Linked DNA regions of Rattus norvegicus. The protein of the gene in region 2 purifies or fractionates together with the protein of the main gene of each other region. This does not show direct contact. Links are inferred from orthologs where the notes say so. Each region holds a gene or a part of one and is shown on either strand. Other genes may lie near its edges.

Region 1 (3,514 bases), on a different chromosome or scaffold from region 2:
CTCACTCTAAATTTACACAGTCTCCCTCTAGTCCAGTCTGGCCTCAAATCCACAATCCTCCTGCCCCGGTTTCCCAAGTGTTTTGATCACAGATGTTTACTAGCATACTTCTCTCTTATAGGTACTTAACTACAGATTAACGTTTCACGGGGTAGGGCCAGGCCTGTCTTTAATCCCAGCACATGGGAAGCAGAGGCAGGATTATCTCTGTGAGCTCTGTGCTGCTGGCCTAGCCGGCCTACAGAGCTCCAGGAAAGCCAGGTCTACATCGGAAAGACCTGCTTTCAAAACAACACCAGTGATAATCATAATAATGAATTGCATGGAGTGCGCAGAGAGTCTTCTGTAATAGGTCTTCACAAGGCAGGGTAAATGGCTTCTTACTAAATAGGAACCAGCAGTAGGAGTTGCTTTGCTTGTTTTTCCTTTTGCTGGTCCCAATGTGTTTGTAAAGATCTTGTCTTCTCATGGTTTTGTTTGTTTTTTTGTACAGGAGTCCAGCCTATTCCTTCTCAGGGAGGGAAGCTAGAAATAGCTGGCACGGTGGTCGGCCACTGGGCTGGGAGCAGGCGGGGCCGTGGGGGCCGAGGGCCCTTCCCTCTGCAGGTGGTGTCTGTGGGAGGACCAGCAAGAGGGTAAGCTCTGGGCCGGGCTGGGTGCTGTGCTTGGTGTAAGTGCAGAAAGCAGCCTTTGACTGTTCCTCCTCCTGGGCAGGGGCTCTTCTCACGCCACTGCTAAGTTTCTCTTTCACATCATTGTTAGTGTTGCATAGAATTCTCTTATATATCACTATATAATTGTTTGATTCATCATTGTTAAATAATTAACCATGCGTTATTCAGTTAATGAACTGTCTTTTAAAAATGTTCCAAGTGTTAGTTTTGAAGTCAAATGCCTTGGGTGTCCATACTTAGCACTTGATGTGTCACATGACTTGAGAGTAGTTTAAACATCATCTTTGATAGACTTAAATCTGTTTGCTCTTCTTTTCCTGTATTGACCCAGGCGTCCAAGGGGTGTTATTTCCACTCCTGTGATTAGAACGTTTGGAAGAGGTGGAAGGTACTACGGCAGAGGCTATAAAAGCCAGGGAGCAATTCAGGTAATGTCCCCATGGTGTTCCTCTGTCACTCCTGTCCTGTCTCTCTTCTAGGAGTGTCCTTGCATGTGTTCAGACTATAGGGCAGTGAGTTTGTTTGGTAATTGTCAGGCCTCTGACTTGATACTTAAATCATTTCCCTGTGCTCAGGAACTCCATTGGGTGACACCTGTGTGTTTGACTTCTTGTTTAAGCCAAGTGAGGGCAGGCTGGCCTGGCCATGTCTTCCAAGACAGCCACTGCTTTAGTGGGAAATAGTTGGGTTGGGTTTGGTTGGGTTTGGTTTGGTTTGGTTTGGTTTGGTTTGGTTTTTTTGGTTTTTGTTTTTTTGAGTCAAGGTCTTGCTATGTAACCCTGACTGGCCTGGAACTTGCTGTATAGACCAGGCTGACCTCAGACTCACAGAGATGCCTTTATACACATAAAATTATGTGTATAGATATTTTGCCTGCATGTGTGTCTGGGCACCAGGTGCCTCAGAGAGGTGTTGGTTTTCTTGGGACTAGAGTTATAGAAGCTTTGAGTCTCCATGCAGGCGCTGGGAATTCAACCTCAACCCTGATCTTCGTGAAGGGCCCCTAGTACTCTGAACCACAGAGCCCCTTTTCCAGCCCCACTCTGAATATTTCATGTATACCTGTTGTGCATGTGCTTTTCTTTGATCTCTTAGATCCTATGTCCTTTTCCTTGGGTGAACTGCTTGTAGCCTTCTTATGGACACCTGTACCTTGTACATGCCTTGTGGAGAGACAGTGTACTGACACTCACTGCCCCAGTGAAATACTTGTTGAATTCCAGTGGATAGGCATTTGACTAAGAGCTCTATTGTGGTATTTAAATTGACCTTTGTCCATCTTGGAGAATTTTGCTTCTGGAGGGTTGGTTAAATGAACACATCCCATATTTAGACAGTGCTTTTTTTTTTTTTTTTAAAACAGATTTCACACACAGGTTCAGTACCTGCTCACAGTGCTGTAACTAGCCTCCTGTGCCGAGAATAGCTGCAGGAACATTTTCACACCACCTTCATTTTCATTTTAAGCATTAGCTGTATTTCATCCATATCTGGGCAGGGAGCCATGATCCACTATACTTTGCCATTGTACCCCAGTTGTCTTGCTGCTATAAATACCTTCTTGACCCATGTACCCTCCAGGCTCTCGACCTTTGTTCTGGTCTCTGAAGTCCCCTTCTCAGTGGGTTCTGGAAGAATGACCCCTCAGGAAGGACTGATGGAAACTGTTCAATGTAAAGACCGTGTCCTACTCAGGACACTGGCTTGCAGGCTTTTTCCACAGTTCTCTTGCTTTACTGAACTTTCTTCATACATAAAGCTTTGCTGTCAAAGAGCTACCTAATCTCCTTCCCATTGAACTCACCTGTGTGCTTGTCCAAGGCGCCCAGATTGGTTTGCTTTTCCATGAACACTTGGTGCCTTTTCTAGAAGCCCCTGGCACTGCTGCTCTGATTGCCACACTCAGTGAGCCCAGACCTTTCCCTTCAGGAGCTTGTCTACAGAAGCATGGTGCTGCTTGCCAACTGCCCACTCTGACTCTTCCCTGCCTACCTTCCTCTCTCCTATTTTGATTTACAACTCAGGCTACAGTTTACCTCTAGGGTTCTTTTCTTTCTTTCTTTCTGTTTTTTTTTTTTTTTTTTTTTTTTGGTTCTTTTTTTCGGAGCTGGGGACCGAACCCAGGGCCTTGCGCTCTACCACTGAGCTAAATCCCCAACCCCTCTGTTTTTTGTTTTTGTGTTGTGTTTTTGTATTATGAGACAGCTTCAGTACACAGCCCTGTATGGAGCTTGCTGTGCAGGCCTCAGATTCCTGTCGACTCCCTGTCTCTGTCTTCTCCTGAAGACTGGGATTGGCGTTAAGGCCTCAGTGCCACTGTGTCACACTCCCCTGTTTATTTCTGTTTGTCATTATATGTGAGTGATATGATGACCATGCATGTGCATCCATGGACCCCACTGGCCACGTACCTCTAAAAGCTGAACTTTGGCATCAGTTCTCTTCCTTTGACCTTTATGTGCAATCCAGGGACTGAACTCAGAATGGCAATGAACCCTAGTTGTTTTTTTGGTTTATGTTTTTTTTTTTTTTTTTTTTTTTTTGGTTCTTTTTTTCGGAGCTGGGGACCGAACCCAGGGCCTTGCGCTTCCTAGGTAAGCGCTCTACCACTGAGCTAAATCCCCAGCCCCTGGTTTATGTTTTTTAAGACAGGATCTTTCTACATAGCCTTGGGTATCTTAGAATTCATTTTGCAGACCAGGCTGGCCTCGAATTCACAGAGATTGCCACTCCCTGCGCTGGGATTAAAGGTGTAGACCACCATGCCCAGTTGCTTTGTTCTTTAAAAGACTAAATTTTGGGCAGCTTTGGACTCACAGCACTAAGAAAGGTAGATTTCC
Region 2 (3,514 bases):
TCAATCATGACAGTCCTCATGCCTCAGTACAGAAATTCAGAGCTACTACACCCTGGCTCAATCTTTTTGATTCAAAGAATTAAAAGAAAAAAATTCTGTTAAATATTTCATAATTTTATACATTTTTAAATGTTAGGAAATTTAGGTTCTCACCAAACATCTGCTTGTTTTTAAATCAAACATTCCCGCTCACAAAAAAAATACTTTATGAGGCTGGGGATTTAGCTCAGTGGTAGAGCGCTTACCTAGGAAGCGCAAGGCCCTGGGTTCTGTCCCCAACTCCGAAAAAAAGAACCAAAAAAAAAAAAAAAAAACCTTTATGTTGCTACTTAGAATATATCATCCTGGTATCTTCTGTGAATTTTAACTGTACTGTCTTTTTATTTTAAGTGTATGGGTGTTTGGTCCACATACTTGTACACCACATGCATGCCTGGCGTCACCAGAAGGGGGCATCAAATCCCCAAGAACTAGAGTTTCAGATGGTTTTGAGTTGCCCTGTGGGTACTCAAGAGTTGAGTGTGGGGCCTCGGGAAGAACAGCCAGTGTTTCTAAGAGCTGTCTTATTTATTTACTTATTTAAAATAAATGGGTGTTTTGTGAATTTGTGATGAAGGAAAAATGTGGTCTAAGAAAAATTCTCATATTCCTTTAATTTTACCCAGAGCTATCCAAAGCCAGAAGCACAAACTAGAAATTCCGTACCATCTACAGATTCTGAATCTTATCAAATACCCCTTCTATAATGCATATACACAGGAAAACACGGCACTTCAAAAACCACCAGATAAAACACATTAAGCAAAAACTGACATTAAGCCTAGAGAAAAAGGAGAAGAAAAAAACAAAAAACTTACCAGTTTAACAGCCTCTTGTGCTGCTTCTTTTGTACAAAAAGTGACAAAGGCATAACCTCTGTTGAGACCAGTAAGTGGATCCATCATTAAACGAAGATCCCATATAGGTCCAGCTTTCTCAAACAATGGAACAAGCTCATCTTCAAACAGATCTCTGGGGATCTTCCCCACAAATATCTGAAAATTAAATATGAATTCACAATCATGGACAATTCTTTAGAAACTAGAGCTGTATTTTTTTTTACTACAAATGGTGTAAGTTTAAGGTTCTTTACCTCAGTGCCAACAGAAGGCTGCTGACCTGAATAAACAGAATCTGGAGGTGGCCCCCCATACTTCCTCTGACCTGTAGTCACATCAAGAGTGTAGCCTGTTCTTTCCAAAAGTGCCTTTAAAAAGTTCAAAATGTTGTTAATGCTTCATTTAAAATACAGATTTTTAGTAATTAAGTCAATCCCATTCAAATATTACCAATCTTAGCAACATTGCTCCATACAAATGAGTAAGATCTGTTTTAGAATTCTCCCTTTTTACATAAAATATCCAATTAAAAAAAAACATTCTCCCTTTCATGTAACCTACAATCAAAATTTCAGAATCCTGTGCATATCATTGTTATTGGCCAATTAATTACTGAGCAATAAAAATTAAAATCGACCCACCAGCAACTTCTAAGATATATATATATATATTGAGTCTGCTAAGAGAAACCTCATTTAAAGCAGGCATGGCTTTAATCCCAGCACTCAATAAGCAGAGGCCATGGGATCTCTCTGAGTTCAAGGCCAGCCTGGTTTACAAAGACAGAGTTCCAGGACAGGGCTACACTGAGAAACTGGTCTCAAAACACAGACACATACCACATACACACTGGGGGGGCGGGGGGGGCGCACAAGTATACCTCATTAAAAATGCAACAATTTGATTACTATTGAACTCTGTATTTCTTACCCAATAAACTCTTAACCCACCCAAAGACACACAATACCATTTGTGGGCATTTTGTCACCTCCACCCCTTAAATCACGTCTATAAACTTGGAAGGCTATATGAAAAGCTTTTCTATTATTTGCTGTCAAAGTGTTGTGTACCACAAATAGCATGGCTCATTCAGAAGAAAAGCAGCCAAAATGATTTTGAAAAACAGTAAGAAACTACAATCATAGAACTTTTATCTCCCTCAACTTGTTAAAACTTATAACTCATTTTACTCAATTAGGGGTTTTTCTTCATCCGTTATTACAGGTAAAAGTGACAAAAAGGACATGTGTAACCTGTTTAGCCAAATAAGCCCAAAAGTCCGCTTCTGTATCAACGAGGAAAGTTCTCTAAGTAACAAAACTATTTTATTAACTAGTTAACAATTCAAAATAAGGACCATAAGATAAAACTTATCAAAATGTTAAGTCACCTCAATCTCCCAAAAATTTTTTTTTTACTCAAACAGCATTACATATGAAATTGTGGGAACGATGTATAGGATGCTTCCTTGATGTAATTTATCCCCCCCAAAAACCTGACTTATAAAAATATATCAATTTTAAAGGTATTCATAAACGTTTAACAAAGTTTCACAAAAAACTGTATGATCTAAATGGCTTTTTCATTACTCAAATTTACTCAAAGGTATAACTCTTATGAAGGAAGGGCTGGAGAAATGCCTCAGTGGTTAAAAGCATTGAGGCTCTAAGTTCAAATCCAAACACAACTCTTCAGAAATTAATAATTCCCCAATCGCACTGGCATAATTGCAATACAGACTATAAACCCCATTTTTATTGGGAACCTAAATTCAATTCGTTCACAATCCTTTGTAAAAACTCACACTGTTGACAAACAACATCATACTCCAATCTTGTCCACATGATCTAGGCTTCCTTTTCCAATAGAGGTATAATACCACACATTTATGCCCTTCTTAGCAACTGCTTTTCTTAAACCATAGCTCTTGCCTAAAGAAGTGGTACATTACTAAAATCTAAAAACTAATATAAACTATACTCTTTGAACTACACCTAACTCACCAAGAACACTACCTAAATGAGGCCATTTAATCTTCTAGGACCTTAAAAACAACCAACCTGCAACAAAAGAAACTTTCACTCCCAACCCATTGTCCTTGCTTACCAAACTTGGTTTTAGAAATAACTGTCCTTCATAACCCAATAAAAGAAACAATACTAAATTCTAAATTCATTGGGACCCTGCCCTCCTAAAGGGAAAAAAAAAGCAGCCAGCCAATCTGCTCCCAGTTTTGTTGATCAGTAATCTGTAAACATTTAGACTTAACCACCTCTTTAAATGTTTCTTACACTTTTGTAAGTGACAGCACACACAGGTTGGAACAGTAGTAGCCAGACAAACTGCAGTGATTTTCAAAAACCAAAAGTGGACACAGTCAATCTTTTTTTTCAAAGTGTACTCATTAGAAGACAATAACCTTAGAAATACACATGCGTGTGTGTGTGTGTGTGTGTGTGTGTGTGTGTGTGTGTGTGTGTGTGTGCGCGCGCGGCGCGCGCGCACTTCAGGAATAACCTTAGAAATATATGTACCCGGGCACACTTCAGGAACATTTGACAAAGCTCTTAAATAACTGGGAGGGTTGTAAAGCTGCAGAAAGTTTTAAAAGCATACCTTAATCTTCGCCTCATCTG
Region 3 (4,157 bases), on a different chromosome or scaffold from region 2:
AGTTTCTCTCAGTGGCAAGTTAGAATCGAAGGTCTTTGTGTACATATTCTAGGTCAAGACAGACATTTCTTGGATATATCAACTAAATGCCTGAAGTCCCAGCAGAAGGTAGACAATCCAGCTATGTCTCTAACTACCTCATGTGGAAGGAAGACACTAACCACTCATCCACCTACTCATTTTGGGGGAGGCGGCCCCAGCTTAAAGCCAGGAGGAGGTAGCATAGCAAGCCTATTTGCACGCACCATGCAATGTACCTACAATGCTCTAAGAGCCAGCCGTGAAGTCTGAGACGGGCATAAACCCTGGAAGTCTCATCTAGCTCCGCACCAAGTACCTGCGTCACTGGATACCTACCACTACCACCGCCAAAGCCGCCTCCGCCTCCTCCGTTGTTATAGCTGTCATAGCTGCCACTCCCGCCATAGCCACTGCCCTGGTTTCCATAACCCTGTCCACCACTTCCATAGCCTCTGCTTCCTCCAGAGTAACCAGGGCCGCCTCCTCCATAACCACCTACAAGAATACAAGTCTTCTCAATAAGACAAAAGTATTTAACAAGAAAAATCTACGCAAGTTAAATAGCTAAAGGCTGCTCAGGGCATGCATTTTACGGGGCTGACTGAACTTTGTCATGCACTAGGTTTAGTCTCTAGTAGCCTATTCTAAAGGTAGAGGTCGCCAGAAACCACTCCTTACAGACTCCTTAAGAAACTTACCATCATTGCCAAATCCATTATAGCCATCCCCACTGCCACCATATCCACCACCACCACGGCTGCCACCAAAGCCACCTGGAAGAAACCAAAGCTTTAAACCAGGCTTTGTACGTGAATGAATACTTATCAAATATCAAAACCTGTAAGTGCTGGGGACACAGGGTAGCAATTACTAGTTATAAGTTCTAAAACCAACAAGGAGCCAAACAAAGCCATACACACCACGACCACTGAAGTTCCCTCCTCGACCAAAATTGTCATTGCCACCGAAACCACCTCCACGACCACCACCAAAGTTTCCGGAACCACTTCGACCTTAAAAGAAATTTTGGATCATTAGGTTAACCTGTAATAACTAACAGTGTCCTCCTCACCCCAAGTCTAACCAAGCAATAAACACACCTCTCTGGCTGGATGAAGCACTAGCCATCTCTTGTTTCGACAGAGCCTTTCTTACTTCACAGTTGTGGCCATTCACAGTATGGTATTTCTGAACTAAGAGGAAAAATTAAATTCAGGACTTTTAAAAAAACATGTGAACTCCAGAATCATAAAGGAAAATGTAATCCTCTGATACTTACTAACAATCTTATCCACAGAGTCATGGTCATCAAAGGTGACAAACGCAAATCCCCTCTTTTTTCCACTGCCTCTGTCAGTCATAATTTCAATCACTTCAATTTTCCCATACTGCTCAAAATAATCTCGTAGGTGATGTTCTTCAGTGTCTTCTTTAATACCGCCAACAAAGATCTTCTTCACAGTTAAGTGGGCACCTGGTCTCTGAGAATCCTAAAAGGAAAAATGACTCCAGTTATTTAGTAGCAGCACATTCCTAAATGATTGACACCTGTGGTGGCACATGCCTTTAATTTCACTCAGGAGGGAGGATCTCCCAGTTGAGATCTGCCCCATTACAATCTCAGGTTAAAAAAGAACCAGCTATTAGGAAAAACCACTCACTTCTCTTGACACAGCTCTCTTAGGTTCCACAACTCTTCCATCCACCTTGTGTGGTCTTGCATTCATGGCAGCATCCACTTCCTCCACAGTGGCATATGTGACAAACCCAAAGCCTCTGGATCTTTTGGTGTTTGGATCTCTCATTACCTGTTTAGAGTTAATTCAATCAACACAGTGCCTGATCACAAAGCCAAAAAGTCATTCCTAGTCAGAGCGCTGCAAACATGAAACTCCATCCAGAGTCAGAAAATAAAAAGCTCTTTTACAGATCTTGTTAGCAAAGCTCCACAACGATGATTTTTAGTATCCCATTAATTAACTTCACAAAACATTTAGCTAAGAAGCGTCAAGGTTAAATCAGAAGAAATAAGGCAGCTCTTCCTTTTGTTTTTTTAAATCTTACCACACAGTCGGTGAGTGTTCCCCATTGCTCAAAATGGCTCCTCAGACTCTCGTCGGTTGTTTCGAAGCTCAGCCCTCCAATGAAGAGCTTCCGCAGCTGTTCCGGTTCCTTGGGGGACTAAAATAAAGTGGGGGAAAGAGGGGGCTTAGTGGAGGGCCTGAAACTTGGGCGAATGAATCAACACCATTCATCAACACACGCCACACTTTTTTATTGTTCTTTATTACTGCACAAGACCACGTGCTCCTTCCTGGGCTTGACTGGGGACTCGAGTTGCACGCGGCGCATGCGTCCTGTTACTTCATACGCAGGCGCAACAAAAGACACAGGTTGGTCTGGTCCATCGCCATTAAGACTTAGTATCTCTTTAACAAGAGATCATTAGACCAGATAGGGAAAAACGAAAAAAAGGCCACAAACCCCAGATCGTTAAGTGTAAGAATTCTGCCAAAAGGAACAGTGCGTAGAAACTAATGGCTGTCGGATCGCAGCCTCATGGTGACTATGAGGACAAAATGGCGACCTGCATTTTTTAAAGTAGGCCTCAGCAGTAATCGATCAAACACCGAAAGCACGGGAGCCAGCGACAAAACAGGTCACATCCCGTCATATTCAGTAAGTGTGGAAGAAAGCGAAGCTGCAGAGCGCGCTCAACTCACCTCTGACTTAGACATGACGGTAGGATGATGAGAGCGTTCAGCGATGCTTCCTCGCCAGCGTCAAAGAGCAGAAAGGAATAAGATAGCGAACGTGTCCGGCAGCCTACCTTCTGCTCTCCCTTTTATCCCGCCTCCTCGCTTTCGGCATTGGTAGACTCCGCCCTTGCTTCAGTCTTATTGGAGATTTGAAATTGTTCCCTCCCACCATTGGCCTGTAAAAACGCCCTGCTAAGAAACGGCATCCGTTTGGGCGTTCTACTCAGTCCCCGCCCCTTTGAGTCATTGACGCCCCAAGGGATCTTATTCTTAACCACATTGATTGGCTAGCTAGCCAGTAATTTATATTTGAATGTACTCACGTCTTTAAATGTGTTTTATACCTTCCCCACACCCGAATGTTACAAACTCACTCGGCAAAGGACGATACGTTAGAAAGTAGTTCGCCGCGACTTTTCCCAGCTATAAAGCGCATGTGTAATAAAAATGGCGAGTTTACGCCGGCGCAGTACGAAGTTCCGCCTGCTGTCTGGAACACGTGAAATGGCGGGCGGGAGAGGGATACGAGGTTCGTAGGCGCCTGCGTAGTGGAGGGACCTGTGTTCTGTTTTGCGCAGGCGTTTTGGGCGGAGAAAAGGTCCAAGCCCGGGATTGGTTGCGCAGGCGCAGGGAAGGATCCGTTTTGGCGGGCGGTTGGCATTGCGCAGAAGGCGGCGGTAGCGGTGGCTTGTGGTGCCGCTTTGCCACAGAGGAACCGTGCAGGCCTTAGTGTGAGTGATCACTTTAGATCCCGGGTAAGTGGCAGAGTCTTGTCTACCCGTACGAGATCTTGAACCTGCTCCAATTGCACCGGTTATTGTACGAAATGAATGGACCGCTGAACTGGGGGGGGGGGGGAGACGACGGTGAAGGGGCCGCGACGGGTCGGGCCAGCCAATAGGACAACTGGGGCGGGATGTTTTATCCTTGCAGGTTCGGTGAAGCTGCGTTGCCGAAGCGTTTGACTGGCGAGTGTATAGGCCAATTGGGTCTTCCTATAGCTGCCTACCAACCGGTCCTTGGGCCATCGGAATGTGGGAGGCGGGTTTTTCTTGCCTGAGTTGCGTCTCTCCGAGCCAATGAACCCCAAGCGCGCCATAGGCCGGCCTTCCCCAAGAGGCAGAGGCTGGACTCCAGTGGGGAGCGCGGGAGTCGGTAGGTTAAATTCATATAGAGCAAACCTGGAGCCAGTAGGACAGACTACTCTCAAAAAATAAAGCTTAGTCTTGCATTTGTGGGGGCGAACATTTAACTAAAATGACTCCTATAATTAAGGCATTCATTCCGTATATTACCTTAAGGAAAACATATGTTTTCTTGTACTTTTTGGTACAAAAAGTTTCACCCTTCACTTAGACTCTAGAGGACGTGCCTTTA
Region 4 (4,088 bases), on a different chromosome or scaffold from region 2:
CAACCCCAGTTGTCTTGTTTTTAAGTATTAAAGTTGAATGCTATAGAGGGCACTGTGTATTTGGTCACCCAGCTTTGATAATTATTAACTCATAGTTAAGGTCCATCTTGTCTCTTCTTGAACTCCCTCCTTTAAACTAGCTTGTTTTGAAAACAAATCCTAAATCTATCATAATCTTAGTCATTTTGACTTTAACCAGGTCATATCAGGCTGACTGTTAATCTGTCAATGAAATGACATTTCTTGTATACTAGAACTGACTGCGCTTTCTCTTTTTTTTTTTTTTTTTTTTTTTCTTTCTTTTGGGGTCTGGTTTCTTGGCTGACATATGATTAATACACAGCAGGAAAACAGCTGCAGAATTAGCGGACTCCCCTTCTCTAGGAGAATGCCACTTTTCAGCCCAGATTTCAGCCTTACTCCTTAAGGACTGAATCAACAGTTCCTGAACTATTAATGACTAATTGAAAAGCAGACAAATATTGAATGCCTTTGATCCCAGGACTCCTCCAAAGGCAGAGGCAGGGTGACCTCTCTGTCCAAGGCCAGCCTGGTCTACAAAGCAAGTTCCTGGACAGTCAGGGCTATGTTACCCAGAGAAACCCTGGTCTCTAAAAACAAAAAAATCCAAAACAAACAAACAAACAAACAAAGAGAAAAGCCATTACACTCAACAATGGACGCTAGAAACTATTTCCTGACATTACAAAAACACTAGGAAGATGTCAAAAACACAGACACAGCCATGCAATATCAGATGGGTGTGATATAAACATTCTCCACTTATTAAAGAAACTTACTGCCTAAAACAATCTGCCGAGAGGCTGAAGAGATGAGTAGCCCAGGAAAGGCAGCAACCCTCAGAGTCTGTTCCAGGAAATTAGGTAGAGAGCCGTCAAGGAAGACAAGACACCAGAAGTTGACCTCCGGCCTCCATGTAGAAGAGCATTGAGCACAGAAAACACACACTGAATTGCTCTTATAAATCTGCTCCTGTACCAGCTGTGTTTCTTTAAGGAGGAGGACACCTATGACACTAAGCACAGATTTAAAAACAAAAACAAGGGGTTGGGGATTTAGCTCAGTGGTAGAGCGCTTACCTAAGAAGCACAAGGCCCTGGGTTCGGTCCCCAGCTCCGAAAAAAAGAACCAAAAAAAAAAAAAAAAAAAAAGAGTACTTAATCTTACTAAAGAAAAGAGAAAGGCTGAGTCAGAATAAAGAGTCTACTAAAAGTTCACTAGAATGACCAAGACTTCTCCCTCCACACTCCCCAAATGTATTTTTAGTTTTTACTTCAACAAGTAGTGATGTAATTTGCATTTGGTAAGCACAGATCCCTGAAAGACCAAAATCCTAGTTTAAATCTCTTCCAACACTTCCAATTCTCAAGAATTACAGTTACCCAGACTGGGCTACAGAGCAAGTTCCAGGACAGCCTGGGCTGCACAGAGAAACCACATCTCAGAAAAAAACAAACAAGCAAGCAAAAAAACAGAAACAGAATTTCAGCTATAAGCAGTTGAAAATAGTGACCTTTAAAAGGCACACAATACATGGGCAAAATGCAAAAGGGTACAAGATAAAGCTTCAGACCAGCAATACTGCCACAAGGACGGAGGTGCGGCCAGAGTTTAAGGGAAACGGATAGGTACCGGGAGTGAAATCGAAGCTCAGCTAAAGAAAGTGAAGAACTACAGATGTGGACCAAGAAAGCACGGTTTTAGCATCTTTGCATACTCCACCTCCAGAACCTGACACACAAGAGGGCTCCAAAAAGGTCTGCTGAACCCAAGGGGAGCTTATGCCAGCAACTTTCTCATAAAAAGGAATGACAATAACGTTCTGGGTGGTGGCAAGGAAACATGGGACAGGTTGCGGAGCCTACGGGAGCCAGTGAAGTGCCTGAAACTGGTTCTACAGAAAGGATGGCTTTACATCCATAACCTGTCTGCTACAGTGTCCCCATTAAGCGCGCGCCCCTTTCTGGTGCCAAGCAAGCACAATGCCCAGGCACTGGCAGTGGGCACGAGGGATTCTTCTGCCTCGGAGAAAACCCAAATGGGAAGGTAGGTCAACTTCTGTCCAGTCTGAAGCCTAAATTATACTTTCATACCACGTTAATAAATTATGCAAACGGTTTATTGGGACACGGTGTGGGTCTGGCACACTGATAAGCGCTTTACACGCCCCATTTCACTGCAACTTCACAGCCTGAAGAGGCAGGGACGGGGTTGGGACAGGATTAATACTCTTCCCCCTCCTTTTCCCCCTCACAACAGAGACACAAAGAGTACGAAGTGACTTGCTAAGGGGACAGAGCCGGGAATTGGCACCTTATCCCACAGCTCCGCAGTGGCCGCAACACTGTGCACAGCACCGAAACCTGGTGGCCTGCCGACCGGCCCAGCCCCTGCCCGCGACCCCCGCGTTAACTCCCGCACTGGGCCCACGAGCAGCGCGGAGGGCCCGCCTCCTCCGGGAAGGCCCCGCGGGCGGAGATGAGCCTGGGCCGCAGCTCCCGCGCCCTCGAGGCCTAGCCCACCCGCCGCCCACCTCCCGCTGACGCCGTGCCTGCGTGGGTCCTTCCGCTGCTCGGCCCGGCCCGACCCGAGCGCCTTACCTGGCTGCTTCCCCAGAGCTCGTCCCGGGGCCGGCGGTATTGGGCGGCGGCGAGGAAGAAAAGCAAAAGAAGAGGGCGAGGAAAAAAAGACCGGGGGAGGGAAGAGACGGAGTGGCTGCGGAGAAGGCGGGCGCCGCCGGGCCGGGGGTCAGAAGAAGGGGGAGCGCACACAGACGCGACGACAGCCAGCGCAAACGCTGAAGAGTGGCTCGGCGCCTGCAGCCCGGCAGGAAGTGACGGGGGAGGGGCCGCGCCCGCCCCCGGCCCCCGCCCGCCTCCATGCCGGCCCCACCCCCCCCACCGTGGCAGGAACCACAAGTCCCAGCAGGCGCCGCGTCCAGCATGCGCTCTCTAGGCACGTAAGACCAACGGGGGCCAGGCACCGCTGCGTTGAGTCCAAGGTGTACTGGGAGTTGTAGTTTCCCAGGAGCTCCGGTTCGGCAGGGAAAGCAGGCCTAACTTCCTTTCTTGTCCAGGCTTTATGTTTCCTTCCTGCGTTCACTCCTTCTTCCTATACTAACATTTGTTAACCTGCTGCTGTGTACAAGGTCAGAAACTGAAAATACAGTGAGAATGCACAAGTCCCGGCCCTCATGGAGTTTACATTCTACTGGGGAAAGCACAGTAAATGAAGTCTGATTCTGTTTTAAGACAAGCACCAAGTACTTTCTGGTTGCTTTCACGGAGCTCTAAACTGAGTGTGCTTCTGTGGACAAGAGGCTGGTGTTGGTTTCTTTGATGTGGTCCTGGAGATTGAAGCAAACTTCTAGCACTGAGCTCCATCTCCCACTCATGATGTAACTTTTCTATTCGCCCTCTTGGGTTTTCTTAATTTTCTTGCGCGCGTGTGCGTGTATGTGTGAGTGTGCATGGTATGTATGAGCGTGTGAGTTCAGGTGTCCACTGAGTCCAGTGCTGTCACTTCCTGCCTGGTGCAGGAGTTATAGGCAGTTGTGAGACAGGTCCTCTTCAAGAATAATAACTGCTCTTAACTGATAGCCATCTCTCCAGCCCTGTAACAGCCCTCTTATGGGAGGCAGGGGAGAGAGGTCTTTAGTACTAGAAAGATGGGATCCTTGTCAGAGGTTATGGGATCCTCTGCGGCTTATTTTAAGTGATGCCTGTGATTGAAGCACCTAGGTAGACATCATAGCTAGATACCCAAGGCTCTAGGTTCCATCTCTACCCCAAAAGTACACACACACACACACACACACACACACACACACACACAGAAAAAACCCTAGCCAGGTGGTAGTGGCACAGACATTTTAATCTCAGCCCTTGGAGAGGCAGAGAGAGGTGGATCTCTTGAGTTCCAAAACAGCCAGGGCTACAGACAGAAACTCTGTCTCAAAAAAACAAAAAATTAAATAAATAAATAAATAAATAAATAGTTTGCCTAACAACTCAGTCTCCTTGCCACAGCACTGTGGCTGACTTTGCATGAATTCACAATGCTATCTG
Region 5 (3,514 bases), on a different chromosome or scaffold from region 2:
TCCTCTTGTAGAGGACCTGGATTTATTCCCAACATCCATTTGGTGGTTCACAACCATCTATATCTCCAGTTCCAGGAGATCCAAAGCCCTCTTCTAACCTCTGTAAGCCCAAGGCATGTACATGGTACACATACATACAAATACCCATAACACTAATAGAAATAAATCTATTAAATCTTTGAAGGAAAAGAAAAAGAGTGGGCTGAGACTCCTGTTAACCTTTGACCTACACTGACCTGACTGATTATAAGACCAACTGCTATGGCCACTACATATTCAGTAATAAACTCGAACCTTCAGAGGTCCTGTGCTTTCAGGCATTCCATGACAAGCTAACATGCCCAAGGCCCTGAGCCCCATCCCCAACGGAGAAAGATAAGAGATATACTTACATGTTGGCAGAATCTTTAGTATTACCACCAGGTCAGCCACATTGTGTCCTGTAGTCATTGTCCCCTTTTTATATGATCCTACCTGTCGGACTTCTTCAATTTGCTATTGAAAGGGATTTCAGAGACGTTTAGAAAAATAAAGGTGCTGAGTCCTCATAGAACCATTTCAGCTGCTTCTTAATACCCAGATTTGGAAGCAGCCATGCTGAAATCTCACCCCTAGATAACCAGAAACCTGGGCATGGTTAGCTGACCAGTGATACAATCTTGTCCTCAAGATTAGGAATTTTCCAGAATTCTCTGTACTTTTCCATTTTAGGCTTTGATTTGAATAACAGACAACTGAAATATTAACAGGCAAGAGCCAAGGAAATTTCCGTACCACCAAGGGTGCCCGTTCTTGGGATTAAATCAAAAACTCACCACTTCAAATGTCCCTGGAGCCACAATCAAGTTGTCAATCACATTGTTTATTTTTGTCACCAAAGAAAGGATAGAAGCCTGAAAACATCACAAAGCAAAAATACCCTAAAGCCAAAAATGACACACAACATCTGCAACATCATCACCAGACTCTCCACCTACAACAAGGAGGGAGATGAATAATTACACACACAGAGGAGTTTGGGCTCTAACGGCTCTTGATGAGAATCACACCTAGGGCCTCAAGTGTCTACTACTGGCTTACACTCTCCCTAACCAGATGGAGTAACAGTTCTTTAACTCTGAACTTTTTTTTTTTTTTTTTTTTTTTTTTTTCGGAGCTGGGGACCGAAACTCTGAACTTTTAACACAGCCCATGGACAGCACATACCTGCTCAGCAGAATTGGGGGCAAGGTCTTGATTCCTCTTCAACAAGGCTTCACTGAAGGAGGTCTCATCAGGTGCTGGTTTGACCCGGGGAAAAGCCATTTCACACTAAACCAGAAATTAAATTATGTTATTTACCAAAAATAATTCATAGAAGAGGGACTGAAGAGATTGGCTCAGTGGTTTAAGTGCATTGGCTCCTCTCCAGAAGTCCTGAATTCAATTCTGAATAACCACATGGTGGCTCACAACCATCTATAATGGGATCTGCTTCCCTCTTCTGGCAATGTAAACATATGTGCAGACAGGACACTGATATACATAAGCTATATAAGTAAATCTTGGGGTTGGGGATTTGGCTCAGTGGTAGAGTGCTTGCCTAGCAAGCGCAAGGCCCTGGATTCGATCCCCAGCTCCGAAAAAAAAAAGAATAGAAAAAAAAAATCTTTAAAAAAAAAAAAAGGGGGCTGGGGATTTAGCTCAGTGGTAGAGTGCTTACCTAGGAAGCGCAAGGCCCTGGGTTCGGTCCCCAGCTCCGAAAAAAAGAACCAAAAAAAATAAATAAATAAATAAATAAAAAAAAAAGGGGGGGGGATGGGGATTTAGCTCAGTGGTAGAGCATTTGCCTAGGAAGCAGAAGGCCCTGGGTTCGGTCCCCAGCTCCGGGGGAAAAAAAAAAAAAAAACAGATCTCTGTGAATTTGAAGCCAGTCTTGTCTATAGAGTTAAGTTCAGCCCTGGACAGCCAGTCCTAAGCAGAGAAACCCTGTCTTGAAAAAAGAAAATTAAGAAAAGTGCACAAGAGACTTTTTCCCCAATACTACAAAAGGAAACAAAAATGTTATGCCCTTGTAATCCCAGCTGTGATCTCAGCTCTTTGAAGAAAGAGACAGGAGAACCAACAGTTCAAAACCAGCTTCAAAAAGATATAAACAGGAACCAGTGAGATGGCTTGGCAGCAAAGGCCCTGAGTCATTAATTCTGGGACCCACTCAGAACACCATTCCTGCAAGTCTGATCACCATATTTGCTGTCGTGTACATGTAGTAATAAATGTAATAAAAAGCACTTTTTAAAACATAAACTAGAGGGACTGGAGAGATGGCTCTGACTGCTTTTGCAGAGGACCCAGGTTCAACTCCCAGTGCCCATGTGGCAGCTCACAGCTATCTGTAATTTCACTTTCAGAGGATCTAACACCTTCACACAGACACACATGAGGCAAAACACCAATGTACATAAAATGAAAATGTATCATAAAGAGTAATAATAATAATAGGGGCTGGAGAGATGACTTTGCAGTTAAAAAGCACTGGCTGTTCTTGGAAGGCCCAGGTTCAGTTGCCAGCAACAGCATGGGTCTCACATCCACCAGTAAGTACAGTTCCAAGGAATCTGACCCCCTCTTCAGCTTTCCACTAGTACTATGCATGTGTGTGGTGCACATACAGACAGACACACACACATAAATCTTTAGAATTAAAAAAATAAAAAACCCAGAAAATTCTACATTTAATTCTATTTTTCCCATCTACTCCATTTTTTTTTTCTTTTCTTTTTTTCGGAGCTGGGGACCAAACCCAGGGCCTTGCGCTTCCTAGGCAAGCGCTCTACCACTGAGCTAAATCCCCAACCCCCCATCCACTCCATTTTAAAGCCAGTACACCTTACAACACTTGTTTTTAAGTCCTTCAGATGTTCAAGTCCAAATACAAACCTTATTTTTCTGCTATTATTATTATTTTTTTTTGAAACAGGTCTTATATAAATTGCAGGCTGACCTGAACTTGCTAGGTAGCTGAGGATGACTGAATCTTATCCTCCTGCCTCTTCTTCTTCTGGACTTGGAATTATAGGTGTGCAGTCCACCCTGACATATGAAATACTCTGGTCTATGCAGGCCAGGCAAGCACTCTACAAGGAAGCTACAACAGCAGCCAGAGTGCTCATCATTTACATTAAAACAGATAAAGGCCGGGTGGTGGTAGCCCTCATCGCTACCTCATTGAGACAGAGGCAAGGCAGATCTCTGTTAGTTCAAGGCCAGCCTGGTCTACAGAGTGAGTTCCAGAACAGGCAAAGGCTACACAAAGAAACCCTGTGTTCTCTTCTCTTCTCTTCTCTTCTCTCTCTCTCTCTCTCTCTCTCTCTCTCTCTCTCTCTCACACACACACACACAGAGAGAGAGAGAGAGAGAGAGAGAGAGAGAGAATGCTCAGCAGTAAGAGTGTTTGCTACTGTTGCAGAGGAACCAGACTGATCCCTAGCACGCCCATGGTAGCTCACAACCTCTGACAAACCTCTTCTATCCT

Evidence for each region.
Region 1: the proteins of Syncrip (region 2) and Fam120a purify together in Homo sapiens (co-immunoprecipitation; 3 studies listed by BioGRID and IntAct, counting the BioPlex papers as one, with this or other methods). This does not show direct contact. The link is inferred for Rattus norvegicus from reciprocal best matches to the Homo sapiens genes SYNCRIP and FAM120A.
Region 3: the proteins of Syncrip (region 2) and Hnrnpa1 purify together in Homo sapiens (affinity purification with mass spectrometry; 5 studies listed by BioGRID and IntAct, with this or other methods). This does not show direct contact. The link is inferred for Rattus norvegicus from reciprocal best matches to the Homo sapiens genes SYNCRIP and HNRNPA1.
Region 4: the proteins of Syncrip (region 2) and Stau1 purify together in Homo sapiens (affinity purification with mass spectrometry; 3 studies listed by BioGRID, with this or other methods). This does not show direct contact. The link is inferred for Rattus norvegicus from reciprocal best matches to the Homo sapiens genes SYNCRIP and STAU1.
Region 5: the proteins of Syncrip (region 2) and Ilf2 fractionate together in Homo sapiens (co-fractionation; 3 studies listed by BioGRID and IntAct, with this or other methods). This does not show direct contact. The link is inferred for Rattus norvegicus from reciprocal best matches to the Homo sapiens genes SYNCRIP and ILF2.

The regions. Positions count from the first base shown.
Region 1 is NC_086035.1:15,974,107-15,977,620, forward strand, and holds part of Fam120a (constitutive coactivator of PPAR-gamma-like protein 1), read left to right. Parts: intron 1-493; coding exon 494-635; intron 636-1,005; coding exon 1,006-1,102; intron 1,103-3,514. UniProt on the Homo sapiens protein: Component of the oxidative stress-induced survival signaling. May regulate the activation of SRC family protein kinases. May act as a scaffolding protein enabling SRC family protein kinases to phosphorylate and activate PI3-kinase.
Region 2 is NC_086026.1:98,308,887-98,312,400, forward strand, and holds part of Syncrip (heterogeneous nuclear ribonucleoprotein Q), read right to left. Parts: coding exon 3,495-3,514; intron 1,247-3,494; coding exon 1,133-1,246; intron 1,035-1,132; coding exon 858-1,034; intron 848-857; exon of another isoform or gene 1-847. UniProt on the Homo sapiens protein: Heterogenous nuclear ribonucleoprotein (hnRNP) implicated in mRNA processing mechanisms. Component of the CRD-mediated complex that promotes MYC mRNA stability.
Region 3 is NC_086025.1:136,252,761-136,256,917, reverse strand, and holds the start of Hnrnpa1 (heterogeneous nuclear ribonucleoprotein A1), read right to left. Parts: upstream 2,801-4,157; 5' UTR 2,760-2,800; coding exon 2,745-2,759; intron 2,701-2,744; exon of another isoform or gene 2,343-2,700; intron 2,203-2,342; coding exon 2,086-2,202; intron 1,830-2,085; coding exon 1,683-1,829; intron 1,512-1,682; coding exon 1,301-1,511; intron 1,215-1,300; coding exon 1,122-1,214; intron 1,035-1,121; coding exon 942-1,034; intron 795-941; coding exon 720-794; intron 517-719; coding exon 358-516; intron 1-357. UniProt on the Homo sapiens protein: Involved in the packaging of pre-mRNA into hnRNP particles, transport of poly(A) mRNA from the nucleus to the cytoplasm and modulation of splice site selection.
Region 4 is NC_086021.1:176,142,147-176,146,234, forward strand, and holds the start of Stau1 (double-stranded RNA-binding protein Staufen homolog 1), read right to left. Parts: upstream 2,802-4,088; 5' UTR 2,622-2,801; intron 1-2,621. UniProt on the Homo sapiens protein: Binds double-stranded RNA (regardless of the sequence) and tubulin.
Region 5 is NC_086020.1:178,259,914-178,263,427, reverse strand, and holds part of Ilf2 (interleukin enhancer-binding factor 2), read right to left. Parts: intron 1,312-3,514; coding exon 1,207-1,311; intron 894-1,206; coding exon 816-893; intron 496-815; coding exon 393-495; intron 1-392. UniProt on the Homo sapiens protein: Chromatin-interacting protein that forms a stable heterodimer with interleukin enhancer-binding factor 3/ILF3 and plays a role in several biological processes including transcription, innate immunity or cell growth.